Linked DNA regions of Mus musculus. The protein of the gene in region 1 interacts with the protein of each later gene in a pairwise test. Links are inferred from orthologs where the notes say so. Each region holds a gene or a part of one and is shown in the gene's direction. Other genes may lie near its edges.

Evidence for each region.
Region 2: the proteins of Disc1 (region 1) and Sparcl1 interact in a two-hybrid assay, tested with the Homo sapiens proteins (2 studies listed by BioGRID and IntAct). The link is inferred for Mus musculus from reciprocal best matches to the Homo sapiens genes DISC1 and SPARCL1.
Region 3: the proteins of Disc1 (region 1) and Smc3 interact in a two-hybrid assay, tested with the Homo sapiens proteins (2 studies listed by BioGRID and IntAct). The link is inferred for Mus musculus from reciprocal best matches to the Homo sapiens genes DISC1 and SMC3.
Region 4: the proteins of Disc1 (region 1) and Eef2 interact in a two-hybrid assay, tested with the Homo sapiens proteins (2 studies listed by BioGRID and IntAct). The link is inferred for Mus musculus from reciprocal best matches to the Homo sapiens genes DISC1 and EEF2.
Region 5: the proteins of Disc1 (region 1) and Gnptab interact in a two-hybrid assay, tested with the Homo sapiens proteins (2 studies listed by BioGRID and IntAct). The link is inferred for Mus musculus from reciprocal best matches to the Homo sapiens genes DISC1 and GNPTAB.
Region 6: the proteins of Disc1 (region 1) and Trio interact in binary tests that used the Homo sapiens proteins (3 or more experiments, as listed by UniProt). The link is inferred for Mus musculus from reciprocal best matches to the Homo sapiens genes DISC1 and TRIO.
Region 7: the proteins of Disc1 (region 1) and Pcnx4 interact in a two-hybrid assay, tested with the Homo sapiens proteins (2 studies listed by BioGRID and IntAct). The link is inferred for Mus musculus from reciprocal best matches to the Homo sapiens genes DISC1 and PCNX4.

The regions. Positions count from the first base shown.
Region 1 is NC_000074.6:125,085,154-125,088,728, forward strand, and holds part of Disc1 (disrupted in schizophrenia 1 homolog), read left to right. Parts: intron 1-2,300; coding exon 2,301-3,295; intron 3,296-3,575. UniProt on the Homo sapiens protein: Involved in the regulation of multiple aspects of embryonic and adult neurogenesis. Required for neural progenitor proliferation in the ventrical/subventrical zone during embryonic brain development and in the adult dentate gyrus of the hippocampus.
Region 2 is NC_000071.6:104,111,233-104,115,607, reverse strand, and holds the start of Sparcl1 (SPARC-like protein 1 precursor), read left to right. Parts: upstream 1-1,519; 5' UTR 1,520-2,231; exon of another isoform or gene 2,232-4,375.
Region 3 is NC_000085.6:53,624,382-53,627,956, forward strand, and holds part of Smc3 (structural maintenance of chromosomes protein 3), read left to right. Parts: intron 1-567; coding exon 568-781; intron 782-3,469; coding exon 3,470-3,573; intron 3,574-3,575. UniProt on the Homo sapiens protein: Central component of cohesin, a complex required for chromosome cohesion during the cell cycle. The cohesin complex may form a large proteinaceous ring within which sister chromatids can be trapped.
Region 4 is NC_000076.6:81,175,125-81,179,453, forward strand, and holds the start of Eef2 (elongation factor 2), read left to right. Parts: upstream 1-1,506; 5' UTR 1,507-1,602; coding exon 1,603-1,605; intron 1,606-2,540; coding exon 2,541-2,755; intron 2,756-2,928; coding exon 2,929-3,110; intron 3,111-3,556; coding exon 3,557-3,768; intron 3,769-3,836; exon of another isoform or gene 3,837-3,889; intron 3,890-3,956; coding exon 3,957-4,135; intron 4,136-4,221; coding exon 4,222-4,327; intron 4,328-4,329. UniProt on the Homo sapiens protein: Catalyzes the GTP-dependent ribosomal translocation step during translation elongation.
Region 5 is NC_000076.6:88,377,850-88,382,081, forward strand, and holds the start of Gnptab (N-acetylglucosamine-1-phosphotransferase subunits alpha/beta), read left to right. Parts: upstream 1-1,418; 5' UTR 1,419-1,569; coding exon 1,570-1,686; intron 1,687-4,232. UniProt on the Homo sapiens protein: Catalyzes the formation of mannose 6-phosphate (M6P) markers on high mannose type oligosaccharides in the Golgi apparatus.
Region 6 is NC_000081.6:28,023,030-28,027,311, reverse strand, and holds the start of Trio (triple functional domain protein), read left to right. Parts: upstream 1-1,463; 5' UTR 1,464-1,815; coding exon 1,816-1,972; exon of another isoform or gene 1,973-2,947; coding exon of another isoform or gene 2,948-2,987; intron 2,988-4,282. UniProt on the Homo sapiens protein: Guanine nucleotide exchange factor (GEF) for RHOA and RAC1 GTPases. Involved in coordinating actin remodeling, which is necessary for cell migration and growth. Plays a key role in the regulation of neurite outgrowth and lamellipodia formation.
Region 7 is NC_000078.6:72,535,124-72,539,217, forward strand, and holds the start of Pcnx4 (pecanex-like protein 4), read left to right. Parts: upstream 1-1,233; 5' UTR 1,234-1,416; intron 1,417-4,094.

The DNA.
Region 1 (3,575 bases):
CTCTGTCTCTCTGTCTCTCCGTGTCTCTTTCACTGAGACTTGGAACTTGCCAATTAGACTAGGCTGCCTAGATGGAGAACCCTAGATATCCTCCTGTTTCTCTACCTCCTGCGAGCTAGGGTTACAGGTGTGTACCACCCTGCTCAGCTTTGTCTATGGCGTGGTATTTTTGTGAGCTTGACATATGTCCTTGCCAATGGGAATGCATTTTTCTGTGTCCACACCATGTAGAGATCAAAGGTCAACACTGCATGTCTTTCTTCATCTTTAATATTTTTTAAAAAATATTTATTTATTTAATGTATGTGAGTACACTGTTGCTGTCTTCAGATACACCAGAAGAGGGCATTGGATCCCCATTACAGATGGTTGTGAGCCACCATGAGGTTGCTGGGAATTGAACTCAGGTCCTCTGGAAGAGCAGTTAGTGCTCTTAAACGCTGAGCCATCTCTCCAGCCCTTCATCTTTAATTTTTAAAAATGCATTTTATATCTATTTACCTTACGTGTATAGGTGTGTTTTCTGCATTTATGCCTATGTACCGCCCACATGACTGGTGCCAGGGCAAGACAGGTATGGGCATGGGATCCCCTGAAAATGGAGTTAGATATGCTGGTGAGTGTCATGTGGGTGCTGGGAACTGCATCCTGGGCGCTTCTGCAGGAGCATCAAGTGCTCTTGTGGAGCAGAGGCCCATTTACATCTTGAAGGTGGCGGCCTTAGAAAGCCTGCGCTTGCATTCTGTAGGTCCGACACATGGCTGAGAAAGCCTGCTTTTCTAATCCAGTTGGCACAATCAAGGTTATGTGGTACCTATTGCACCCTCGGCCTCAGCCAGCTTTCCAGCCTCTCCATCTTTAATTTTTGAGGCTGACTCTTTCCCTGACCATGAAGCTCATCAATTTGGCTCCATGGTCAGCGAACTTCAGGGACCCCCCTGACTCTGCCTCCCAGCACGGGGACTGCAAACATGCACCACCACACCCAGCACTTTAACCTGGGCTGGGGGGGGGTGGTGGTCAAACTCAGGTTCTCGGACTTGCACAGCAAATACTTTACGTGCTGAGCCATCTTCCCAGGCCTGTAGCTAATAGTTCACCACACTTTTATGTTCCATGTCCTATTCTAAACTGTTTATACAGATGCTAACAAGAACCTTGTATATGGGGTCCTTCTAACCACCCCCTCAACTGAGGGGGAACCGAGGCACACAGAAGCCAAGCAGCCTGCAGAAGGTTACACAATGAGCAGTTGATATGGTCATATTTGGACCAGACAGTGAGGTGACAGGATTCTTACTGTTCCTATTTCTGCAGGGTAGCTAGGTGAGGACTCAGCCCCTGTGGTCCACTGTGTGAGATGAAGAGACAAATGGCCTCTATGTCACAACCAGTGACTTAGAGAGGGTTTTACTGCTGTGAACAGACACCATGACCAAGGCAACTCTTAAAAAGGACAACATTTAAATGGGGCAGGCTTACAGGTTTAGAGGTTCAGTCTATCACCATCAAGGTGGGAGCATGGCAGAGTCCAGGCAGGCACGGTGCAGGAGAATGCTGAGAGTTCTACGTCTTCATCTCAAGGCAGCTAGGAGAAGACTGACTTCCAAACAGCTAGGATGAGGGTCTTAAAGCCCACACCCACAGTGACACACCTACTTCAACAAGGCCACACCTTCTAATAGTGTCATTCCCTAGGCCCAGTATATACAAACCATCACAGACACCGAGGGCTCGGGAATGCGTTGGGAACGTGGGAACCTGGATACTTGGCTACTGCAAATCCAAGTGTCATTCAATAGTGACTGGAATACTTGACAGAGTCACATGCTGATATTTTGGTGTCCGGTGGCTTGCTTTGCAAGCCCTCTCCTGGAGGGACACACTATGTATCATCAGCACTAGGACAGTCGCTGGGGAGCCACCAAGGCTGTGTCCCCAGGACACTGACAGTCTGTCAGACAGACATACAGTAGGGCCTGCTGCTCTGCCAGCAGAAGGCTGGGATGCTGGGCTGACTGGGCATCTGCAGAGGGGCACCAACTTTCTTTTGGTTTTTAAAGACAGGGTGTTGTGTAGCTCAGGCTAGCTCGAACTCCCTCTGGTAGTAAGGATGACCTTGCTTTCCTGACCTTTCAGCCTTCCTGTCCCAAGGACTGGCATCATGGGAGTGTCCCACCATGAGTTTTCACGCTGTGTCTTGGATAGGTGTACCCACAGAGACCTGCATGGCTAGCATGTCCTCCCCGTGCCGCTCCTGCTGATTCAATGACATACACTGTTTTCTCTTCTCTTCTCAGACAGTGGGCATGGCTTACCGCCTGCAGTAGCCCCTCAGAGGCGGCGGCTGACACGGAGACCAGGCTACATGAGAAGCACAGCGGGTTCTGGGATCGGGTTCCTCTCTCCAGCAGTGGGCATGCCACACCCGAGCTCAGCAGGGCTGACAGGCCAGCAGTCCCAACACTCACAGTCCAAGGCTGGACAGTGCGGACTTGACCCTGGGAGCCACTGCCAAGCCTCACTGGTGGGCAAGCCTTTTCTCAAGAGCTCCCTTGTCCCTGCTGTGGCCTCTGAGGGCCACCTGCACCCAGCCCAGCGCTCTATGAGAAAAAGACCAGTGCACTTTGCGGTTCATTCCAAGAATGACAGCAGACAATCTGAGAGGCTGACTGGGTCATTTAAGCCTGGGGACAGTGGGTTTTGGCAAGAATTATTATCTTCAGACAGCTTTAAGTCTCTGGCTCCTAGCCTTGATGCACCCTGGAACAAGGGATCAAGGGGCCTGAAGACTGTGAAACCTCTGGCATCACCGGCGTTGAATGGCCCCGCTGATATCGCATCCCTTCCCGGCTTCCAAGACACCTTCACTTCCAGCTTCAGCTTCATCCAACTCTCCCTTGGTGCTGCTGGAGAACGCGGAGAAGCAGAAGGTTGCCTGCCATCCAGAGAGGCCGAACCTCTGCATCAGAGGCCCCAAGAGATGGCAGCTGAAGCATCTAGCTCAGACAGGCCCCACGGGGATCCTCGGCATCTCTGGACCTTCAGTCTTCACGCTGCTCCAGGCTTGGCGGACTTGGCTCAGGTGACAAGGAGCAGCAGCAGGCAATCAGAATGTGGCACGGTCTCCTCCTCCTCCTCGGACACTGGCTTCTCTTCCCAGGATGCATCCTCCGCTGGTGGGCGGGGCGACCAGGGCGGCGGCTGGGCCGATGCCCATGGATGGCATACATTGCTCAGGGAATGGGAGCCCATGCTGCAGGACTACCTACTGAGCAACCGCAGGCAGCTGGAGGTGTGTGTGCTTCTGGAATCGGGTCACCTCAAACTCAGTGTTGGGTGGAGGCGGGGAGTGGGCCACCGACTGAGTGCTGGTCCCGGAAGCTGCAATGGCTCCTGGGACGACTGAAAAGATGTGGCGGCACATCTGTCTCCTCCACATCTGAACGCGCATGCTCTGCTTTCCGCTTTCTGGCTGTGTGGCTTAGGTGCTGGCATGTCCTCTCTGATGGGGCCCATACTTCTCCACAACCTTTGACCTGCAGTGTGGTTTGTTCGACTTAGGACACTGGGGC
Region 2 (4,375 bases), on another chromosome or scaffold:
TTGAGAAAATTCTTTAACCAAAAAAGTCAAATCATTTTCTATATGGCCTGGCTGGTCTCGCTGCTCCATGATCCCTCGGGACACCATCGCAGAATGGCGCCAGCATCCTCTATGCTGCTAAGACCAGAGAGAAGCGTGCAGATGTGTGCAGAGGCCCTGGAAGAAACAAACCCTTGTCCCTTCCTCAGAGGAGCTGCTCACACTCCAAACCTGAGCTGAGGAAAAAACATCCCATTGTCTGAGGCTTCAAGACGTCACATCCTCGGCCCTTTCTATAATCCTGATCCCAGACACGTGCGCCCTTCCCAGCTGGAAGGGCTCTGGCTCACTGCCCGGCTTCCTCTGCTCCCAGACTTCCCTGCTGCACGACAGAGATAAGTTCTGTTACCTTTCTCATTCTGAAAATCAGTGCGACGAATGTTCTGGGGTCCGTAGAGCGAACCGGCTGAGGCACGTCTGCAAACTTGTATAGCTCAGGGTTTTTATTTGCTTCACTTGGCTTTTGCTTTTATCAGTCTGGTTGCCTGTTGACTTTGTCACACACTCAGAGAGCCTAAATTACGTTAAATAACAACTTCTCATCCAGTGTTAGTGGAGAGTGTATAGTATCAGAAGCATTTGGGCTAGTCACCTGGAGAAGGGGGTGGGGGGGCAGTATCTCTTCCTCAGCGAAATGCCTGCTCAGTTGGCTAACACAGGCGGGAGGCAAGGAGAGTACCACCTTGCTATTACAGTTAGAGACCCGGGAGAAAGCGAACGTTGCTGTCGTCTGACATAAACCAAAATAGTTAACATTTGTTGAGTGTCTACTACATGGCAGGAGTTTTATGCAGTTGGTTTGCATCAAATTATTGAAACTCAGAACAATTGCCTGTGATAGACCTTATAATCACTCCTCCTATATCTGTAGCCTCATTTTATAAATAAGAAAGCAGATGCTGAGAGAGGTTATTACTAGCTCCTGGGTGTACAGTTAGGGTGTGGGAAAGTCAAGAAGAAAATCCAAGCTGCCTGTCCTTAAATCCTGTACAGTTAACATTACTCTGTACTATCTTTAAAATGGGAACGTAGTAAAACCTCCAAAGACTTGTCAGACTCCACGAACACGATGCATTGAAAGCTGTTAGCGCAGGGTCCGACACACGATAAATGTGCAATAAATACAGACACAACCATTGAAATGATTACACACATACATATACAGAAGCAGAGCCAGGCCTACTGCTGCTCCTCTAAACTTAGTACCCAGGAGGCAGAGGCAGACGGATCTCTGTGGGTTCCAGATTAGCTCGGGGCCAGGTAAATAAATAAATAAATAAATAAATAAATAAATAAATATTTACATGCCTTGATAGATGAATGCCACAGTGCAAAGTCAGAAATAAGCACACAGGAAGACCTCTTCTTGTACAGCCCGGTGCCATCATAGGCTTACAGAGGATGACTGACTGGGCTGGGCAAGAGCAGGCTATGAATCACAGCTTCTCTAAATCAGCATGCTCTAAAGAGCAGCAACTTCATTTTCCAGAGCTGCTTACGAGTAGGACGGTTAAAGCAGCCGGAACGGTTCTCTGTTAACGTTCAGACTGCGGTCATGAGGACAGCTTCCAATCGAGCAATATAAAAACGCATCTGCTGCAGTGATCCTTCTGTCCTTTCACCCTGGCTTTGCAGTCGCCCTAGGAATAAACAAGAGTGTGAAGCCTCTCTGCAGTGTCTCAGAGTCACAAGCCCCAAGGGATCCCAATCATACGATCTCTCAGAGTTGTTTGAAAAAAAAAAATTGCATGAAGAGCCAAATGCTTACACTCTGGCCAAGTTAGGAGCCTATGAGGAGGAGAGGCTAGGGGAGGGCCGTTCACTCCATGCATGCTGCAGAATTAGCTCTCTCCCTCTGGGTCTGCTCTGCTGCAAAGCTCAGCAGCACGGAGGGAGCGAGATCCAGGAATCTGCAACAGAAACCATGACAGCCTGAAACACCCTGTGGTGCCAACCTCCAAATTCTCATCTGTCACTTCAGACCCTGACTGGCTGACAGAGCAGCAGAATTTCAACTCCAATAAACGTGAATGTGCTTCTAGGCAAAGCAGCCAAGCTGACGAGGGAGGGGGGTGGAAGAGCTAGCTCCTCTTGGGCATTTGTCAAACTTTTACCTCCTGGCTGTGTGCAAGGAGGGGACTCAACTTCGGCTTCAAGCTACCAAGGCTCTGGATCCAGCCACCTCTCCGCAGGTAAATGTTAAATTTGCTTATATTGCCCAACTGCATGCGTTAAACTGACTTCCCTGATCTAAAAAGACTGCTTGATGATTCTGCTTAAATAATTCAAAGCCATGTGTTTATTTTTATAATCCCATTTGGAGTGATTTATATGAAGGAAAAAGGAGAATTTTACTTTGTGTGGCCATGTCTCTTTTCCTCCTACAAAATTAAATGTCGAGCACTAATAAACCATAGTTTTCGTAATGGCCAAACCAGAAGTATAGATTTCAAAATTTTAAAAAATGTGTGTTTGCCATGTTTAAATTACCTAACTGTATCTGTCACTGTCATGGGCCTGACAGCTGTGTAGAAGTAGAATGCTTTGTTTGTTTGTTTGTTTGTTTTTCAGTTAGGAAATATCTCTAACAGTACATTCTTCTTCGGTTACTTTCATATTATCCTTTCCCTCACAGTTTTCACAGATCTCTCTCCTCCTGCTACCTATCATTTGTTAAGAGGTGACAAGGGGACAGGGAATATGCCCGGTTCCTCATTACATCCTCTCTAGAAAAACACAATGCTAAAGGAGAAGTCAGGGCTAACAACTGTGCTGTCTTTGAGAAGGTCCTCCCATCTGCACCTTCCCCAATACAGCACTTCCTGCGAGCCTTTCTCGCTCATTCCTTCAGGAACAAGATCACCCTGCAGTAGAAAACTATAACCCTGCTTGCAGCTGCCAATCAATACAGTTGAAAAAGTACCCGAGAGAAGTCCTGCAGTATAGTCTCATCTGCAGTGCTTTTTGTCTGCAAAGAGGTTAAATGTGCCACCTTGACATTGCAGACTCCTCTGGGGCAGACTCCAGCCACACAGAATAGAAATGTACCCGCAGTGGGGAGAAAAAAATTTTACCCTCTCCTTTCTCTTAGATCCCAGGGTTTTGTTTTCAGTTTACAGCTCGCTCCACTAAATCTTTGTTTCTGACTGGTTTCCTTTGTTTTTCTTAAAGACACCCCCCACCCCATTCTTAGGAAAGATTTAAAGTTTGGATCGTCTAAGTGAAGTCCAATCAGGTAGAGCAGTCTGTTTCCTCTGCTTGTCAATCACCGGACACGACTTCCCACATCTGGGGAAAGAATGTGTGCGTTGTTTGAAGATCGTGCCCCCACCCCCACTTTTTTCCAAAGAGCCATTGAGCAGTTAGAACTCTGGGGTGGTTTCCTTGCCCTTCAGTGTCTTGCCAGCAGGCTGTTATGGCACAGGCCCACAGTAAAACAATAAATAGTGGCGACAGATGAGGTGCGCGGTGGAGCATCTGGGGAACTCGAGAATGTCCCTTACATTCTCTCTTGACTCCTGTTCTTTCTCAGCTGACTTGCAGCCAGACATGGACGTGGTTGCTTTGGTTAAGTTGAGCTCAATGTCCAAAACATGTTGGATAACACAAACAACTTGTCAAAAGGCTTGAGGTGTGTTGGACTTTCTTATCACCACGGAACAATCTTTAGTGGGTGAAAAAAAAAAGAAAAAAAAAGCCATAAATCCAGGAGAAGCTCTTACGGGTCTCCCAGGATGCCTTCTGCAGAGGCTCCCGGGGTGATAGGACCACCACCTAGCCACAGCCTGTCTCTTTGTCATGAACATCAAAGGATTTACAGAACTCTGCACAAAAGTGACTGCCTCAAAGACAGCCAATGCAATTAACATGAGAAAGATGAAAAGGGCCCTGGTTCATACATGATGACCATACAGCTCTGACTTCTGTTAGACTACATAGGCATGGTTTATCTGCATGCGAAGTGTCACAAGAAATAGCCCAGGGACTCTGCGCAAATGACTTTGTCATAAGAACCCTTTGTTGTAACCATGAATCAGAATCATAAAATCAATAGATACTGCAGAGATTGAATGGGAGAATGAGCTGGAAAATGGATGTATGCCTCGTATATATTGATGATAGCAAATATGAAAGTATTGGTCTGGCTATATTTCACTACTTAAACTCTGAAAAGGGTGTGGACGCTAGGCTCCCCCTTGTACTTGTATGCTCTGCTCTAACAATCTTCAGAAAGCAGACTGAAGTCTCCAAGACAGCATAGAGAGTGGACAGATAAGGCTGCCAAGTCTGATAGATACACCTGAGTACCAACCCCAACACACACACACACACACAC
Region 3 (3,575 bases), on another chromosome or scaffold:
AAGCGCCATCCCTTTTTATTGTGTGCGTGTGATCAGGAGGAGGTTTAAATTGGTTTTTGTGTAATCAGAATACTTACATTTTATATGTCTAAAACACTTTATATTAACTTTTAGTGTTTTATTGTATAGTTGAAAGTTCATGTATTAGTTAACTATACTTCGAGTATTTCTGAAAGCTCCTGAGGTAGGGCAGTAGCATTGTCTAGAATTTAGTGATCATTGAGATCTTGGGTCTGTCTAAAATCCTTAGTAAAGGGATTATTCTGCTTGTAGTTATGATGTTAAAGTTCCTTTGGTGTTAGTAGAGTAAAAGCAGGTGGTGCAGTAGCTTTAGCAGTTAGCAGTTATGTTTAGTTATGTTTAACCCCTCCCCCTGTTTATTTCACTGTGCTCGTCATGTGTGGAGGTGAGAGGATAACCCTGAAGAGTTTGTTTTCCTTCTACCATATGGGTCCTGAGCCATCTCAATAACCTATAGTCCCCACGCAATGTAATTTTTAAAAGGAAAGTTTCTATAGGGTTGATAATTACAATTTTTATTTCTTGTATTTGGTTTGTATTTCGTAGGTTGGCTCAAGCTACACAGGAAAGAACTGATCTTTATGCAAAGCAGGGTCGAGGAAGCCAGTTTACGTCAAAAGAAGAAAGGGATAAATGGATTAAAAAGGAACTGAAGTCTTTAGATCAGGCAATTAATGATAAGAAAAGACAGATTGCTGCTATTCACAAGGATTTGGAGGATACCGAGGCAAATAAAGAGAAAAATCTGGAGCAATATAATGTAAGAAAAATTTTGCTTTATATTTTTTGGTTTGGTTTGTTTGAGACAATATCTTACTCTGTTGTTCAGGCTGTTTCTGTAATTCACTGTGTAGCCCAGGCCATCCCTAAACTCAAAGCAATCTTGCTTCAGTCTCCTAAATGTTAGAAACAGGTGTGCGCCATTACTGACCATAAGAATAAGAACTTTAGTATGTTTTGTGAAAAAAAATTTTTAGTAAGATAAACATATGCATTTTATCTGCTTTGTGTTGTTTTTAAGTAAGCTTGCATACTTAAAAATCTGTTTTTGTTTTGTTTTTTTTCAAGACAGGGTTTCTCTATGTAGCCCTGGCTGTCCTGGAACTTACTGTATAGACCAGGCTGGCCTCAAACTCAGAAATTTGCCTGCCTCTGCCTCCCAAGTGCTGGGATTAAAGGCGTGTGCCACCATGCCCCGCTTTTTTTTTTTCTCCCTTAGTTTGTATGTGTATAGGTCAGAGGACAGCTTGTAGGACTCAGATCTCTCCTTCAAATGGTTGATCTGAGATAATCAGGCATGGAAACAAGTCCCATTGTGCCATCTCCCCAGCTCCCTCCACCATGCTGTTCTTAAAATGAACAAAGAAGCCGCTCAGTTAGAAAGGCTGCCACTGTTAGTACACACAGTGTGTCTTACTCAGGGTTTGTATTCCTGCACAAAACATCAGACCAAGAAGCAAGTTGGGGAGGAAAGGGTTTATTCAGCTTACACTTCCATACTGCTGTTCATCACCAAAGGGAGTCAGGACTGGAACTCAAGCAGGTCAGGAAGCAGGAGCTGATGCAGAGGCCATGGAGGGATGGATGTTCCTTACTGGCTTGCTTCCCCTGGCTTGCTCAGCTTTCTTTCTTATAGAACCAAACTACCAGCCCAGGGATGGCACCACCCACAATGGGCCCTCCCCGACTTGAGCACTAATTGAGAAAATGTCTTACAGCTGGATCTCCTGGAGGCATTTCTCCAAGGGAGGTTTCTTTCTCTGTGATAACTCCAGCCTGTGTCAAGTTGACACACAAACCCAGCAGTACACAGTGTTTGTTGTCTTGTGTGCTGTGTGCTGTGTCCGTGTGCTTCCATTAGCACAGGTATGGAGATTCTCATCTTCCACTGTGAGGGTCCTGGGGATTGATTCGGTTGGGTCTTGAGATTTACCTACTAAGCCATCTCAGTGGCCGCTCTTTTTAAAAGTTTCCTAAGGATAGTTAGTCCATGCTCGTGATGTTTGCGTAGATTGAGCGTATTTTATTTTATTTATTTTTAAATGATTTGTTTTTATTTTATGTGCATTGGTGTTTAGTGTGTCGGCCTGATCCTGTGGAGCAGGCAGACACGAGCCATTCGATGTGGGTCCCCTGTGAGAGCAGCAAGCACTAACTGCACAGCTAGCTATTCTATCAGCTTTATAATTCACTGCAAAATATTTTTGTTAGTTAAAATAATAGTGATTTTTTTTTTAGTTCTTTCTAAATGAGTTAAACATCGTTTACATATTTAGCTAAAATTTTCTTAAAACTTGAAGTAGAGGAGGGAAGTTTTAGTTCAGCTTAAGAAAGAACCTGCATCTCTCTGCATGTGTGTGCGAGTGTGAGTGGAAGGTTGTAGGGTGGATGAGGAGAGTCTGGGACATGTGTCCAGGAAAGGAAATGCCTGCGCCTAAACTGTGAGGTCTGCTCTGAGTGGTCGTTGGTTTCAAAACATGAGAAACCATAGAATCTTAAAATACATGTGTGTGGATACATAAACACATGCATTTGGTGTTTTTTAACTTACCACAAATATGCTTATCTCTCTTTTTGTTTTGTTTTGGTTTATGTTGCATTTATCTCTGAGCCATAATGTTGCTTCTCTAGTTCTTCTGGGATGTTTTCTTCTGTATACCTCCATTTCTGACTTAGGGGCAGTTTGTTTTATTTAGGATCATGTCAGTGTGGTGGGAACTTGTGTGCATTAATTGAACCATGAGCTCTGTAAGTTAAGACAGCGCATCTCAGGTGCTCTGTTCACCTGCATATGTTTAGTGAGCAGAGAATCTTAAGTTTTCAGTGTTCCTCTCTGCAGTTTTAAGCATGTGCAACAAAACTTCAACACTTTGGGCTACAACCCAGGTTCAACCCCGTTGTTAGGCCTGGGCATACGAAATGGTATCATTGATATCTGCCAAAAGTGCCACACATTGATTGCTTCTTTAAAGTGACATCTTCCTGATATGTGGAGGCTTTCCCCACATGCATATTCCTGCTGGCCTAGGCAGTCTCAAGTGTGTTCTTAAAATGAGCACAAGGATTCGAGTTTTCAGATATACATGACTTTATAGGGCTTTATGGATAAGAAAACAGTGAACCATTTTCATAGTTGGCCTCTCACTGCTTATAGAAAGAGCTCTGTGCTAATATTTTTGATGTCACGCTCAGATTGTTTCTTTTGTGTATAAATAGTGGTTAGGGTTTCCAGGTTTGTGTAAATATATTTCTTAAAGTTGGATGAAAATGGGATTCAATATTAGATCCAGAATTTTATATTTTATTTACTTGTTGTCTTTCTCTAATCTGCTTTAGTCTAGGCCATTTCCACAGACTTAACTTTTTTTCATTTATTATAAATTACATATGTGTTAAATTTCACCTTTGAATGTGCCTAAAACATCTTTTGAAAATTTTTTTCCCATAGAAATTGGATCAGGATCTCAATGAAGTCAAAGCTCGAGTTGAAGAACTGGACAGAAAATATTATGAAGTAAAAAATAAGAAAGATGAACTACAAAGTGAAAGAAAGT
Region 4 (4,329 bases), on another chromosome or scaffold:
CTATTGTGTGCAGAAGGCTGCGCACCCAGGGTCAGGCGGGGACAGCCATGCTCACGGTCCTGCGATGCCTCCTGCTGGACACACGCGGCACTGTCAGCATCGAGGGCTCTCTTGAAAAACACACTTTCTCTTTGCTTTGTTCAGATAGTGGCTGGAGCCAAGGCTACGAGTTATGGGCTACTGAATGAAACCTTGTCTAAATGTGCAAAAATTTAGGAGACAAGTGACAAAATCCAAGAAAGGACAGGTTTGGCAATGTTTTGTTTTTGAAACAAGGTCTCCTGTAGCCCAGGATGTCATTAGAATTCACTGTGTAAGTTAAGGAAGGATGGCCTTGAATTCCTGATCTCCCTGCAGAGATCAGACCCTGCCTCCATCTGCCAAGTCCTGGAATGACAGCTGGCTGCCACCCGCCTAGCTCCACGTGCTGATCTATCTATCTTTTTTGTTGTTTTTTTGTTTTGTTTCGTTTTTTTTTTTTTTTTTTTTTTTTTTTTTTTTTTTTTTGAGACAGGGTTTCTCTGTGTAGCCCTGGCTGTCCTGGAACTCACTCTGTAGACCAGCCTGGCCTCGAACTCAGAAATTGGCCTGCCTCTGTCTCTGCTGGGATTAAAGGCATGCACCACCAACGCCCCGCCTTTTTGTTTGTTTTTAAGATAGGGTTTCTTGATTTAGCCTTGTCTGTCATGGAACTCACTCTGTAGACCAGGTTAGCCTTGAACAAAGATCTCCTGTCTTTGCCTTCTAAATGCTGGGATTAAAGGCGTGCACCACTACTGTCTGCCTTTTGTTTTGGTTTTATCATAATTGTTGCATTTTTGCCCGCAGGAGGATCAGGAATTCAAGGACAACCTCTACAGCCAACCCAGTTGAGGGCCAGCCTGTTCTATCGAGATCCTGTCTCCGGACAAAAAAAGTTTCATGAGAGCGTGGTGTGTTGGCACAGTCTTTTAGTCCGAGCACTGACGCAGTAGATTAAGGCAGATCTTCATGATTTGGTGCGGTCCTGGGCTGCATCCAAAGACCTTGTTTCCAAAACAAACAAACGAAAAAGTGTAATAAAAATACAAGCAAGGTTTTGCAGAAATAAATCTGTGGCCTCAAGGGTCCCTTTCTCCAGCTTTTCCCAGAGGTGTCAAATTACATAACAGTCTCAAACCCAGGAAATTGAACTTTGGCACAACCCACTGACCGGTCCGAATTTCAAAGTCTTTTTCCTATTGACCTACAAGGTTTTCAAGAATCATGTTGTAAGCAACTGTGTTCTGAGGAATCTATGTTTAAAAACCCATCCGTGGATCTTGGCCCAGGGTCCAGAGACTGAGCTAGCCACGCCCCGGCCGCGCCGCAGCCACTCCCACGGCAGTTCAAGTGTTAAGTCCCAAAGACCGCGCTCTGTGCATGCGCAGACCCGTCCACAGCTGGCTCCTAGCCAACCCGGCCGGACGAGCACCCGGCGCCGTCACGTGACGCACCCAACCGGCGTCGACCTATAAAAGGCCGGGCGTTGACGTCAGCGGTCTCTTCCGCCGCAGCCGCCGCCATCGTCGGCGCGCTTCCCTGTTCACCTCTGACTCTGAGAATCCGTCGCCATCCGCCACCATGGTGAGTCTCCTCGGCTCCGCTAGACTCGGGGACCGAGACGAATCTCTGGGGCAGCGGGACGTGGCTGTAGCGGGACGCTGAGAGGGACGGGAGGAAGAGACATGGCTGCCCTGGCCCGGGCGGCAGGACGTGGTCGGGCCGCGGCGCCATATCTGCGCGTCCCTGAGGGCCTTGGGAGTGTCAACTGCCGAGGTCGGGGTGTTTTCTTGAAGTCCTTCAACTCCCCGCGGCCGCCGGGGTGACTGCGGGAGGGGTTGTGCTTGGTGATGTGGCAGCGGGCAAAGCGCCGTCCCCGCGCCCCTGGTGACGGGCGGAGGGTGTCCTCGGGAGGTGACAGCCTGTAGGGCTGGCTTCCTTGGACACCTCCAGTGGGCTGAACGCCTTCCGGGCCCTTTCCGGTAGCCCCCGTCTCTGTTTTCTATCTGAGTTCACACGTGAGCACCGGTCCCCATAATCTAAGAAAGTGGCTCACTGGGCCTAGTGGCGCATTGTGGCCTTTGATCCGGGCTTTGACCTTGGCGCACAGCACCCAGTGGTTTGGGGAAGAGGTGTGTGTAGCAGAGGAGGTTTTTTCGTGCTTTGGTCCCAATCAATCCGGCATCTTTGCAGTGCCGAGGTGGCCGTGCACCTTGGCTTTGAATTCTTGTGCTGAGGTTATGTGACTTGAGCCTCAAGATAGGGTCTTCTAGCACAGGCTTGCTCTTAAGTGTCGCAGTTGTCGGTTTCGGCGTTTGTTTAGAGCTGTGGACACATCTGTGAACTTTTGATGCTTATTTCAGAGGTCCTGGGTTGTACGTTTGAGTCACACTGTGAGCTCAGCTCCAATCTTGGGCCGACATCTGGTTCCTGCCCCTGCTGTGGGGTGCTATTGACCCACCGATGCCTGCCAAGTTGGGTTCCCAGAATCAGCCTGGCTGCCCATCCCCCCACCACAGGTGAACTTCACAGTAGATCAGATCCGTGCCATCATGGACAAGAAAGCCAACATCCGGAACATGTCAGTCATCGCCCATGTGGACCACGGCAAGTCCACGCTGACCGACTCCCTTGTGTGCAAGGCTGGCATCATTGCCTCTGCCCGAGCTGGGGAGACGCGCTTCACTGACACTCGCAAGGATGAGCAGGAGCGCTGCATCACAATCAAATCCACGTGAGTGAGGGGACAGCCCCGAGGGGTTGTGCTCTGGGTGTCACTCGGGTGTGTTTGCTGCCAGTGGACAAATAGTGGCGTGTTTAGGGTCCTCTCTGTGACATGCTTGTGTGTGCTGCCTAGCCTGCCTTGGTCAGATGCTGAATGGACTGTTGACCTCTTCCTCTCCGTAGCGCCATCTCCCTCTTCTACGAGCTCTCTGAGAACGACCTGAACTTCATTAAGCAGAGCAAGGATGGCTCGGGCTTCCTCATCAACCTCATCGACTCTCCAGGCCATGTGGACTTCTCTTCAGAGGTGACAGCTGCCTTGCGTGTCACCGATGGAGCTCTGGTGGTGGTGGACTGTGTGTCTGGTAAGCCTTGGGTGGGAGCTGTAACAGACAGTTGCTGGTGTTTTCATGGCCCAGTACCACATTTTTGGGGGTGTAAATTGAAATCATATTCATTTTAAGGCAAGGATGAATTCTGCTCTAATTTGAAATTGTATGTGCCAGTCCCCATGTCAGGGCAGGGAGATTGTGAAGTCCACCTAAGTGTGGGGCCAGTTTCCTATAATTTCAGTGCTCTGAGGCAGAGGTGCATGGGTCTCTGGAGGTGGGAGGGGCTGAGTGGCATAGGGCCTGGTACACTGGACACACTTGGAGATTTAGCGCCTGGGCATCCATACCGTGTACCTTGGAGAGTGCTTGTGTACATTTCACAGACAAAACATACGTGGTCTTCAGGCCTTGAACTGTCAGTGGTTTAGAGTACTTGAGAGTTAAGGGTAAACACTTAGTCCTTTTCACCCTGTCCTCAGGCGTGTGTGTGCAGACAGAAACTGTGCTGCGCCAGGCCATCGCTGAACGCATCAAGCCCGTCCTGATGATGAACAAGATGGACCGGGCCCTGCTGGAGCTGCAGCTGGAGCCCGAGGAGCTCTACCAGACCTTCCAGCGCATCGTGGAGAACGTCAACGTCATCATCTCTACCTACGGCGAGGGCGAGAGTGGGCCCATGGGCAATATCATGGTGCGAAGCTCTTCTATGGGGGGCGGTCAGGGCCACGCTCCCTGGGAATCTCTGACCCACCATGATGACGGAAATTCTTCACTTTGACCTGATGTCTGTTGAAGAAACTCAGTGTCTGAGACTGTGGGCTTGTGGCTGGGCTGGCTGCTGACCATCTTGCCGGGCTAACTGCTGCTCTCCTCCCTCAGATTGACCCCGTCCTGGGCACCGTAGGCTTTGGTTCTGGCCTGCATGGCTGGGCCTTCACCCTGAAGCAGTTTGCGGAGATGTATGTGGCCAAGTTTGCAGCCAAGGGTGAGGGCCAGCTGAGCGCAGCCGAGCGTGCCAAGAAAGTAGAGGACATGATGAAGAAGCTGTGGGGAGACCGGTGAGTACATGGCTGTGTGACTGTCTCTACCCCTGCTACTTGTGGACAATGCCTGCCTGCCGATACTATGTGACTGCTCTCTACAGGTACTTTGATCCGGCCAATGGCAAGTTCAGTAAGTCAGCCAATAGCCCAGATGGGAAAAAACTTCCCCGCACCTTCTGCCAGCTCATCCTGGACCCCATCTTCAAGGT
Region 5 (4,232 bases), on another chromosome or scaffold:
GGTAGTGCCGCCCTGTAATCCCAGGTGGAAGGGAGGGAGGGAAGAGTTCAAGGCTTGCCTGGCTACATTGGGAGTTAGAACCCAGCCGGGGCTTCTTGAGACACTGTTTCAAAATCCTCCACACCGTTCTGTCCCAGCTTCCCCCACTCCTGTCCCCTCCCCTTCCCACCCTCCCCCCACCAAGCAAAACAAAACCTAATAATTCCCAAACCAACCAACAAAACCAACGAAAGCTTCAGAAGAAAGAGGATAAGTTGAGGACTAGACGAATGAAACAAAGTAGGAAAGTGAGGGGTTTCATTTTAATTTTCTTTTGTTTATTGACAAGGTCTCACTACCAAGACCAGGTTGGCTTTGAACTCATAACCTTCTTGCCTCAACGTCCCAAGTGCTCAACAGGTATGCACTGTGGTAGACACTGCATTTGAGAGTATGCCGTGTAATGAGGGTAATTCCCCACTCCCACCCCACCCCCACACAAAAAGACCCAGGTAGGCCCAAACAATTCTCCAAGTGAATTTGACCCGAAAACTTAGTTAGTTCTCTATAACACTCCAGTTCCTTTTTAAAATTTTTTATAATTAACAATGCCAATTCAATAGCTATACTACCCAGTTGTATTTGAAAGGGTTTCTGAAATGGCTCAGCAGGTTAAGGTGATGCCAAGCCTGACTTCAGTTCCTTGAACCCGCAGCATGGAAGGACAGAAACAAGTGACCCTCACCATACACTCACACACACACACACACACACACACACACACACACACGCACACGCACACGCACTCACACACACGCGCACGCGTGCGAGTTCCCCTGCATACACAAACTTATAAGCAGATTGATTACCTATCAAAAGCTAAGGCTTCAGATAGTAACTAAATCCGTTAGTTTTCCCTGCTTTGCCACAATCAGCCTACCTGTGACCTCAAAAAATTTTTTTTGATAAATGCCCGATTAGTGACTTTTGTTTTTCCAAAACCAATTAAACCTCGTGTACGAACGTCTAGAGTAGATTATGTCATTTGGGACAAGCCGAATATGCATTCCCTAGCCACGATCTTTCAAATTTTCTTTCGAAGATAAACTTGAGGCAGGAGCTGTGTTTTTTTGGTTCATCAGGATTGCCCATTGGCACACTGCAGGGGACAGCCCGGGTCGCTTACCTGTTGGTTGGGTGGGTCCCACCGTGCAGAAGGCAGAGGGCCCAAAGGGCAGGGCCCACGGCGCACGCGCAGATGGGAGGGCGCGCGCCTGCCCTTGCCCCTCCGCCCTCTAGGTGGCGCTGGCGACTCGCCGCCGCCTCTCCGAGGCCAACCCCGGGTGGCGCCGGGCGCCTTGCGGGCCCTGGGTCCGCCTCCGCCGCGCCGAGGGCGTGGGCTCCGGGCTCCCGGAAGCGGCGGCCGCGGCGTGGAGCCCAGCGGGCCGTCGGTCGCCGGAGCGACAATGTGCGGCAGCCGGGGGCTGTGAGCTAAGCGCGGCGGCGCGTCCGGGGGCCCCTGAATGGCGGCTCGCTGAGGCGGTGGCGCGGCGCGGGCTCCTCCTGGCGTGGGGTGGCGGGGCCGGGGTGATGCTGCTTAAGCTCCTGCAGAGACAGACCTATACCTGCCTATCCCACAGGTATGGGCTCTACGTCTGCTTCGTGGGCGTCGTTGTCACCATCGTCTCGGCTTTCCAGTTCGGAGAGGTGAGTAGCGGAGCCCGAGCCCCGGAGCCGCGTGCGCAGCATTCCCCGATTGAGCCCCGCGGTGCCGGCACCCCGAATCTCCCTTCTGCCTCCCCATCTTCCCTGCAGCCTGGGGACCAGCACACGGCCCACTAGTCCCAGGCGCTGAGCGTGCATCCTCTCCCCGGCTCGCCTGCAGCAGCTGGACTGGACGTCCGGGCCTCGCGTGCTTCAGCGTGCGCATGGATCCCCTTCCTTCTGCAGGGTGTCCCCAAGAGTCCTCTGGCCATTTGATTTTGGCTCTAAGGCCTTGCGCTGGTGAAACTCTCTCCTAGGGTTTGTATTTTTCTGTAGTGATCCTTCATTCCCTGGCTCTCCGTAGGATCCAGTCCTGCGGTGCCACCCTACTAGTCCTTCACCGTTGACAAAACACCTTATCTTCTGTTTCTTCTGGATCGCAGACTTTGTCTTAGAGGCATGCGCGGCTTTGCATGTGAATTTTGCGCCGTTTTGCATGTGAATTTTGCGCCGTTTTGCATGTGAATTTTGCAGAGTGAAAGGGAGATTTTTTTAAATTAACTTTTTTCCTTTTTCATAATGGCTCTGCTGTTTTGTACAGCTGCATGCCAGCGGGTTGGAGGCCTTACTAGTGAGAATGCACACGCTGATGGGAAGCACCAAGTGCTTATCTCAGAGTAGGGCCCTTGTCAGGTGACTAGGACTGCCTGCGGATCTTGGACTCCAGCCCCGGACCTCTTGAGAGCCAGCACAGACCCACCCTTGCGTCATGGGCTATGCTAATACTTTTTAGATCAAGTCGCTGGTCCTTCTTGGACTGAGAACTGCGTTTAATTGATGTGCAGTGAAGCAGTTTGATTAGACTGTAAACTCTTCAAAGAGCACAGACAACCGGTTTGGGAGGTGTGAGCAGCCAGGTTAAATGAATTTTATGCTCCTTTGGAGACATACCTTGAACGTTCTGGGGACTGCCATTACTCTTCAGTTTAAATTTCAGTTATTTGATTCTTGGGTAGTCTAGTACAGTCTTCGCCATCTTAAGTGTGCAAAGGGGTATGAGCAGGTCAGAAATGAATGGGCACAAGTGTGCCATTCAACAGAACACTGCCCCTGGAGACAGGAAGAAAACATGCGCTTTCAAAGAGTTTGGAATGGTCTCCCTGTTTTATTTATTTGCTTATATTTTAGTAAGAGGTTAAAAGGGTTTTATAATTAACAGAATGCTCTTATAAAACGGCACAATACGTATGTGTGCGCTCAGCACCTACACCGGACTGTAAGCTCGGTGGAGAAACTGGTGTCACTTTAAATGCTGTAACCCTAGCCCAAGCCCAGTGCCAGGCAGTGCCAGTGTGTGCATACTAAGCGTCTGCTTAGTGATTGGCTGAGCGATATGGCCGGGTTCTAAGTGTGTTTTTAGTGGTTGTAGGGACTAGAAAAAAGTAATTTTACAGGTGAGAATGAGACTGTCGCCCACTTCCAATTGTGGAGTGTTTTAGTTTTCCACCACCTCCTGGTCCGTCTACGTTTCATGTGTTGTAACTTGATATGTTTTCGCATAGTTAGTGTCTGACTGCTTTTGAATGGCTTTCATTTCTGAGAAAGAGCCTTACTAAGTTGCCCAGGCTAGCCTGAAGTTCACAGTCTTCCGTTATCAGCCCTTCTGAGTGCTAGGGTTGTTGGTTTATGGTTTTAACCTGGTTCATTTTAAGTGGGCTGTTTACTGACCATGGCGTGAAATGCATTTGTTACAGCCTTGAAGAGTTTGAGACAGGGTCTTACCACGTCGCCCAGGCTGGGCTTGAACTTCCTATATAGACCAGGCTGGCCTTGCACTCAGATCCTCCTGCTTCTGCCTCTGGAGTGCTGGGATTCAAGGTGTATGCCATGAGGCCTGGCTCATAGACACAGATCAAAAAGTTTAGCTGAAATGAGAGAAATAAGAGTTAAGAGTGTCACCGGGTAGCAGGAGAGGTGGGGGTAGCTGGCCTGTGATGGGGGAGGGGCTAGGGAGAGCTAATCTGGATGTGACCAATGGCTCCAGTTAATGCTAACCATGATAATAGCAAGCATAGTCCTTACTAGGTGTTCTCTAACTGCTTCATACACTAATTTAGTCTTCACCCAGCCCTCGCATCTGGACAGTATTATTTTACCTGCCTCACAGGTTATGCAGCTGAGGTGTTTGCATAAATTAACATGGCTAATTCACAGCAGACATGCGCTTCAAGCTTAAGACAACTTGGCTTTGATGCCAACGTCTTAGTAACACCTCTTATATATAACATGCGGATCAGTGTTTTGCCTGTATGTGTGTATATGTGTAAGGATGTCAGATCCCCTGGGACTGGAGTTACAGACAGTTGTGAGCAGCCACATGGGGCCTAACCCAGGACCTCTGGAAGAGCAGCCAGTGCCCCTAACCACTGAGCCATCTCTCTAGCCCTAACCACTGAGCCATCTCTCCAGCCCCCAATAATCCCCCCTTAAGGCTTTTCTTCCGTATATGCATGTTATGTGCACACATGTGGGTGCACATGTGACACTTT
Region 6 (4,282 bases), on another chromosome or scaffold:
TATTAAAAACAAGATCTGAGAACCATAGAAACGCTCCATCTGTGGTAAAATACTTACTCTGCAAGCATGGGAACCTGAATTCAGTTCCTCGGTATTCCAGCTTTTTACTGCAGCTTGGGCACTAGGGAGGCAGAGATGGGAGGATCTTTATGTATTGCTAGTCAACTGTCTAACTAACCAAGGAACTCCAGATTCAGTGAGAGACTCTGCTCCAAAAAAACTAAGGTGAGAAGTGGATGACTGAGTTAGACACTGGGTACCTACCTCTTGTATTCATATAAACACAGACCCAAAACACAAATGTCGATAGTGCGTGCAGGCACACATGAGAGGCAGAGAGACAGTCATCAAAACGCTAGGTGTTTCCAGGGCCAATTAATTGACAGAGCAAGAAAATACAGGCATATGTACTATCATGCGGTCCAAAATATAAGCACACAGCTGTAGATCTTTACACACACCTATTGCAAGGTGAACACAAATTCCTATGGGTGTCTTCAAACTTCATCCTGACCGAAACCAAGCCTTCTAGCCCTTTTCCCTTGCTTGTCTGAGACTGCCAAGGGGAAAAGATCTGGTGGTCACTTAATCATCGTTCTCCCGTTAAACATAGGTGCGGGGTGTAGTTTGATGGAATTTGTTGATCTGTTTTCTCCTGCATGTGATTCTCAATTACCCGGCGCCCATTCCTTCACTGCACTCATCTTGCAGCCGTGACATAAAGCAGAATTTGATATTCCACACATCTGATTTAACGTACATTTTCTTTAAAAGTCCCTTTCCTCTGGTCTCCCCTGCCTCCATCATCTTCCCACTACATCTGGGTAGCCTGAGGACCCAGCACACTTGGGAGATGGGGATTCCCCGCAAGCACCCCCTCTCTCGCGCCTGCTTTTTACATACAAGGAGACGGTAGACTAGAGCAGATAATCTGTTTTCACTGCCTCTCTGCTCATTCAACAATTATCCCGCCCCTTCTACATGCCAGTGACAGCGCTGTGCCTGCGAAGGCCACACCAGCTCCATATCCTGGTCGCTCGGCCCCGCGGGTGACATAAATAATAATGAAAACGCTCCAGCGCTAGGACCGCTTGCAGTGCAGGCGCGAGAGTCCTGGCAGGGGGCGCAGTGCCCGTCCTGGAAGGCCAGTGTGGCTCGGTCACACTTGTTCCTGCTCCTCCCAGGTTTGGAGCAGCCCTGGAGGAGGAGACCTGGCCCGCTCCACGTTCTCTCTCAGCCACTCCATTTCGCCCTCCGGGCTCCCAGGCGCGGCTCCGCCCCTCCAGGACCCGCCCACAAAAGGCCCCGCCCACCAGCCGAGCCCACGCTCCGGCCGCTAACGAAGCTCTCCGGAAATTCCCGAAGCCCCTCTTTTTCCTTCCTCTCCTTTCCCTGCTCTCCCTTTCCTTTCACCCGGGCTCCCTCGGCCGTGATTTCTCCCTCCCCCTCCTTCCTTCCCCGTCGGAAAGCAAGATGGAGGCTCGCTGCTGCCGCCGGCGTTCGTGATCGCGGAGCTTCGCAGCCCCGGCCCCCGCCCTCGCGTGTCCGCGCCGCTGCCCGTGCCCCGGCCGGCCACGCCGAGGCCGTGGCTCCGCGCGCCCGCTCCGCGCCAGGCTCGCGGCTCCCGGGCGGTGTCCTCGTCTATGTGGGCGCGCTCCTCGGGCCGAGCCGCCGCCGCCCGCCGCCCCGGGGCTGTGCGTCCGCGCGCCGGGCGCGGGCAGCTGGGTGCTCGGCGCCGCCAGGCCAGGCGCAGGCGGCTGGGTGCGCGGAGCTAGGGGCGCGGGGCCCGAGGCGGGCTCGTCCGCCGCCGAAGCCATGAGCGGCAGCAGCGGCGGTGCCACCGCCCCGGCCGCGTCCTCCGGCCCCGCGGCAGCGGCCAGCGCGGCGGGCTCCGGCTGCGGGGGCGGCGCCGGCGAGGGCGCCGAGGAGGCCGCCAAGGACCTAGCCGACATCGCGGCCTTCTTCCGATCCGGTGAGTACCGCGGTTGCCCCGCGCGCTCGGCCGGCCCGGCGCGCCCGGATCTCCGGCCCGGTATAGCCCTGCGCGCTCTCGTCCCTGTCGCCGCATCGGGGCTCTGCGATCCACGCCGGCGTGTCAGGTTACCCACGCCGCCCTTGTGCTGCGGCTCGTCCCGGGCGCCTTCACTCGCTTTCCCGGCGCTCGCCCCTCGTGCCAGGCTAGACACCCCTCGGCCTCCCGTTTCAGCGGCCACGGCCCCGCGGGTAGGGGCGCCGGCTCTTTGTCTCTTGCTGGAGGGCCGAGGAGGCGGCGGCGGGGACGGCGTGGGCGGAGGCCGGTGTCCCGGAGGACGAGCTCACCGGGACCGGGGACAGCAGCTCTGCCCTGTAATAGCTTTTGGGCCGCTGGTAGCTGGACCACCAACCCCATTATCAGCGAGTGTCCCGACTCGGGGCTCTAGCCTGTCATCCAGCCTTGGTGTACGGTTCTGTGAAACGGGGCAGCCATCGCACCTCAGCCCAGGAACCGAGGACGGTGGCCGAGCTGAGGCGGCGGTCGGGTCGAGCCATTGTTTCTGGGGGAGGCCCGGGAAGGACATCTGGGACCGTGGTGGCCCTTGGGAGAGGCGTGGGACCAGGGCTGGCGGGCACTGCGTGGGTGGCGTGGACCTGGAGGCAGTGAGGGGCAGTTTAGGGTCCGCTCTGGCGAGCCGGAGGTGGCCGAGGAGGAGGCTAGCCCGGAGCCCGGCGGGCGGGAGGGGCGCTGGTGTGCTGCGCAGGGGGCGTGACGGGGCGTCCCGGGGACCCCGGTAACGGCGCCTCCTCCAAGCCCGGCCCGGCCCAGATCCCGCGCGAGCCCGGCTCGCGTCCGCGCGTCCCTGCGTGCAGTCCGGTTTGCTTGCGCGTCCGGGAGGCGGCGGAGGGCAGCGGCGGCCGGGGGCCTGCAGTTCGGAGAGCAGTCCCTGGCCGGCCAGGCTTGGGAGTGAGGATGCAGACTCCGCGCTGGAGAGCCAGAGAGGGCGGCCCAGGTCAGGATCCGGACGGACGGGCGGGCCAGGGAGGGCGCGGGGAGGCTGTTTGCCCGCCTCCGGGAGGACGGAGAGCCTCGGGGTCTGGTGAGCGGCCTGCACCGGGGTGAGCGCGGGAGGCTGACAGCTCAGGGTCTCAGTGGCCTCTTTCAAAGTCAGGTCCCAAACTGGAAGAGATCAGGGCCGCAGTCCAGGTCATTAGGAGCTAGCAATTGAAGCGACCAGCCTTGGGCGAGGCAGATAACTTCTGGGCCGTTAGACACCTGGTTTAGTTCTGTCTTCTTGATCTTTGTCTGGCAGGGTTATTTTTGATTCGTCTTAACCGATTGGTTATGAAGAGAAGTGACACGTTCCGTCTCGACTGTGTCAACTTGGGTTTAGTGTGCTCTTTCCAGCTCTCCCTCTCCGGTGAGGGCCTTGTAGAAAGCTGAGGTTTAGAAAGACATGAACTCCTTCAAATGAAAGCTTTAACGGTTTTTAACAATGTATTATTTATTTTTTAGTGTGTGACTGGCTGGAGGCATGGCCCAAAGCCACCATTCTTTCTTTTTTTCCATCACCTGTCACAGACTAAATGGTTTTGTGCAGAATTCATCTTCCCAATGTTCTTGCGTCCTAGAGGTGGATTTTTTTTTTCCCCTTATGGCTTAATGCACAGTTCAGGAATGACTTGTTTCCAAGATTCTCCAAAGACATGCTGGTCTTGATTGCCTCTCTTCACTCTGGGCTCTGCTCTTACTGTTCGTAGTCCTGGGTAGCTCGTTCGTTTTAGAGTTCCTGATCAGGTAAAGCCGCTTACTGCCTTGTTTCCTTTATTCCACCTCCAAAGTGACTTGAAGGAGCCAGCGCAGATTTTCAGTTGGTTTCAGAGTTGTCCCATCCCCCTTTAGAATTTCATTTCACCCTCCACTCTGAATCCTTGCCCCAGATCTCAGTGGTTGGCATGTAGGCTGGTGTGTCTAGCAGAGGATACCTAGGGGCTGGTCAGTTTGAAGCATAGACATCATGGTTTTAAGGGTGGCCTTGGTTGGAGACCTCCTGGAAAGAGATCAGTTCAGGTAGGAGCCCTCCTGGAAAGATTTGATTGACTGTGAATAAGGAGGAGTTGTCAGATCCATCTCTTCTGTCTTCAGGATGTGCAGACAGGGAAAATCCGTCCCTGTTGACTGGGAGGCAAGGCACCTTCTCCAAGGTCCCTGAGCCTGGTCCTCAGGGCACGTTCTATTGCTTACCTTTTCCTTCTCAGTCCTGTAGCTGTAGTTATTTGGTCCCCTCTTCTGTTTATCCCTTTCTTG
Region 7 (4,094 bases), on another chromosome or scaffold:
GAAAAATACCTGCGAGCCATGCTTAAGGCCTAAGTATTTATGACCTCACACCTTTCTTAAGTATTTGTAAACCTGAAAGTATTTGGGACTCTCCAAACAAGACTATAAACATATTTTTCAAAACACTGTTTTTACTTTATCAGTTGTAATCCGATCCAAATTCAGGAACCTTCTGATATCACTCAACTTCCTTAGCAGAGCTTCCTACATAACCTCAGACATCACCAACACTGTATACGTAACATGCAAAGTGGAAGTCCCCACACTTTGATGTGTCTTACGCTGTCATTGAGCACATCTATCAGTCCCTCTATTTTATATTAAAATCACTTGTAGCCCGGCGTGGTGGCACACGCCTTTAATCCCAGCACGCGGGAGGCAGAGGCAGGCGGATTTCTGAGTTCGAGGTCAACCTGGTCTACAGAGTGAGTTCCAGGATAGCCAGGGCTACACAGAGAAACCCTGTCTCGAAAAACCAAAAAAAAAAAAAAAAAAAAAAAAATCACTTGTAGACTCCAACTCTGCTTCATACAGGCTCGCCCTGGAATTTTTTTCCTGTGGCAAATTCAAGAATCCCAACTTCACTTGAATGGAGATCTCTTGAAAAAAAAAAAATCCAGTTGCTAGGGTGACTATCTACAACCTGTGTCCCTGGGCCCTGGCTCGCTGCCACAGACAGGTTCATTATTTTACATGGATATAGTTTATAATGTGCCCAAAGTACTATAATACTAAGAGCAAAAATATAAATATAACAGGCACATGTTACCATTTAAAAACATTCCCATCCCTGAGGCTGTTTGAATGGCCTTAGTTCTGTAGTCATTAATGGAGGTATCCGAACCCTGGGGGATTGGACTTTTATTGCACTTCTGAGTCACGGGTCTGCCAATCTTGGAAAGCCTAGGCTCCCCAAGAGACAGTCAAGTCATCCAGCTCTCCAGCCTCGAGGTTGCCAAACGATGGACTCGTCACCAAGGCAACCACGTTCCTTCGTCTGGGCGTGGCCCGGGTGAGAGTTCAGAGGTGGTGCTTAGGCCGCTCAAGAACCAGAGCACCAGTGCGGAAGAAGTCTGGGCGTCTCCCACAACACTAGCCCGCCCGGCCCTGCGCGGAGGAAACCCCGCCTACCCTGCGCTGCTGTGCCGCACACATGAATCCGCCTCCGGCAGAACCAGGCGGCAGGGGGCGGGACGAGACGCACAGCCCCGCCTCCGAGCGCGCGTGCGCACTGACCCCTGGGAGGCACGAGCGCAGTTGATCTTAGCCATGGGAACGGGAGCGGTCCTGGAGGCCTCCGGTCAGCTGCTGGCGGGGCCCGCATCCATCCTCGGGCAGGAGTTCCCAACCGACTTCAGCTGGGGAGATGTGGTCCCAGGACGCCCTCGCGTCGCCTCTCCCCTGCGGTGACTCCAGGTATGTCCGTCCCCAACACACCTGAGACTTCGTTGCTGCCTTAGTTTCCACCCCTGGGTACTACTGGGTTCCTTCACCTTTTAATACCTCAAGAAACATCTTTCGCTCTCCATGAAACAGCTTTTAAATGCAATTATTGCTCTTTTTAATGTACTGAGCAAATTGAGTTGATCGAGGTAGTGATCCAGTTTGGCTTTAATGTGACTGAGAATACTTTTGCAGCCCGTGGAGTTACGTTTTATTTCTGAGAGGCCTCTGTGAAATGGAGAATGGCCCTTTGGCCCTGCTGAGGGATGGCCATGTTACTCTAATCAAGTTCATGGCCTATGCCCCTTAGGTAAGATCACTCTTTCTTGGTTTATCTCTGTCTCAAGCCCTCCTGACCAAAATTTGTTCATTCTTGGCCTCCTGGATATGTATAGCGCGTTTCTCAGGTTTCTCTGTCTCTATATAATCCTTTGCGTGTCAAAGACCAGAATTTTTAAAAATGAATCCCATTCGTTATTTATTAGACCTCTGAATTGTATGCTCTCTTATTCTCATGTTCCCCTTATTCATTTTTTCCACTATGGTTCTATTTTTTTTTCATTAAATCCCTGAGTTTAGAGAGAGAGCATTCATATTATTTTATATCTGCTTCCATTCACACCCAATCACCCATAATTTCTCACAGCATCCAGTACAGATATTGCCATTTTAGTGATTTAACTGCCTGGATCCCAGGCTAGCTACAGGTTATGCCTTTCCTACCTTTAGGAAATGCCTATTGGTTATTAACTGCTGTGGAAAATCCCGGGCAGGGGACCTTTGCATCCTCCTCTGTGAGAGCTTTCCTGAGGTACATACAATTCATTTTCTGGAAGTATACAGCTTACTGGTTTTGAGCATCTCAACAGGTTTGCACAATCATCTCTACAAGTTGGTTTCGGAGCAATTTGATTACCTCCAAAAGAAATCTTTTCTATTTAGCTGCTTTTTCTCTCTCCTCCCCAATATTCCTGCTATTAGTTGTAGGCAATCACTAATCTTTAGTCTCAACAAAATTATTTCAGATACTCGATATAAACACAACCTTAAAACATGTGATCTGTGTGCGTGCATCTAGCGAATTTTATGTTGCAGCTTGTATTATTCATTATTGTTTATTAGTATATTAGGCAGATATGCCCTGTATTATTTAGCCATTAGCCATTGGCAAAAAGAGTTTGCCAGTACTAATAATGCCGTGGACATTTTGTATAAATTTTTATGTAGGCATGTTTTCATGGATATAATACCTGGTAATGGAATAGGTATGTCAGAGGCTAATTCCCTTGTTTGGCTCTTTGAGAAACTGACAGATTTTTTTTTTTCCCAAAGCATAGCACCACTCACTGTACATCCCCACTAGATGTATTTGAAGGTTTTACATTAACCTCATCAACACTTGTTCTAGGCTTTCATTTTTATTTTAGCCAATCAGAGAAATTCACACTATCTCATGGTAGGTTTGGCTTGCATTTCCTCATGGCAAGCTTCATTTCCAGCATGGTCTATCACCCAGAAACTGTCAATTCTTATCCTTAGTTTATCTTTTTAAAACCAGGTTGTATTTTCATCATTGAATTGGGAGAATTAATTAATTAGCTAGTTAATTAATTAATATAGCTGAGATGCAGATCTCTAATTGCAGCCTTTTGCCATTCTGCAAATAGCTTCACTTCCCTGATGGCCTGGGCTCTTAACCGCTCTCGTTCAAGAGTGTTAGGTGCCAGTGTCCTCAGGCCAGCTTGGGTATCAGGTTTTACCTTTTATAACTTTTTATATTCCTTTCAAGTCCTCTATTCAAGAATCCTCAGAATTTGCCTGGTGGTTCCTGCCTTTAATCCCAGCACTCAGGAAGCAGAGTCAGGTGGATCTGTGAATTTGAGGCTAGCCTGGTCTACAGAGTCAGAGTTCTGTATCTTGTATTCATAGAATAATGATATGATGCATTAAAGAATAAACCTAAACTAAAAAGCTGCCTAGGAATTTGTTTCTTCTGGCCTTAGAGGAATGTGTGCACACTCATGTGCTGTGCGTGCTTTCAAGCTACTACTTTTTGTTGTATCTTTCTTTTTTCAAGGGATTTTAGTCCGCAGCATATGATCCATGAGTTGTTGTGTGGGTAACTAAGAATTCCGCCACGGCAGATTGCAAGTTTGAACTGCTTCTTACCCTGTGGGAATTTCATGACTCAGATTCCAAATGCAGCAGCGTCTCAGAGTCTGTTTGGCTGGCTCCCTCTCAGTGCGTATGTAGAGAGTGTATGGCCCGAGTCAGTGCTGTGCTGCCGTCATTAGCGCAGCTCTTGTTTCCTCAGGATTGAGTGTGCATTTGAACATGCTGGAGGAAGCCATGACAGATATGGTCTGTCCTTCCAGGTGCTGACCGCCCTCAGAAGCACATGCCAACATGTTACTCAGGGAATGAGTTTACTTCTTATGGTCATATTCTACAGATAATCCAGGCTAGCATTCACAATACTTCTCCACATAAATGTAATTGTAGTACCTCAAAAAATACTCTAAATTCTTAAGTATTTTTAAAATTTTTATGGTCTAGAATGACAATCAGAAGTTAACAGCTTATTATATACTTTTTACCCTATTGATCACTTATGAATTGTTAGGAAACAGACATCAATTTTTAAAATATCT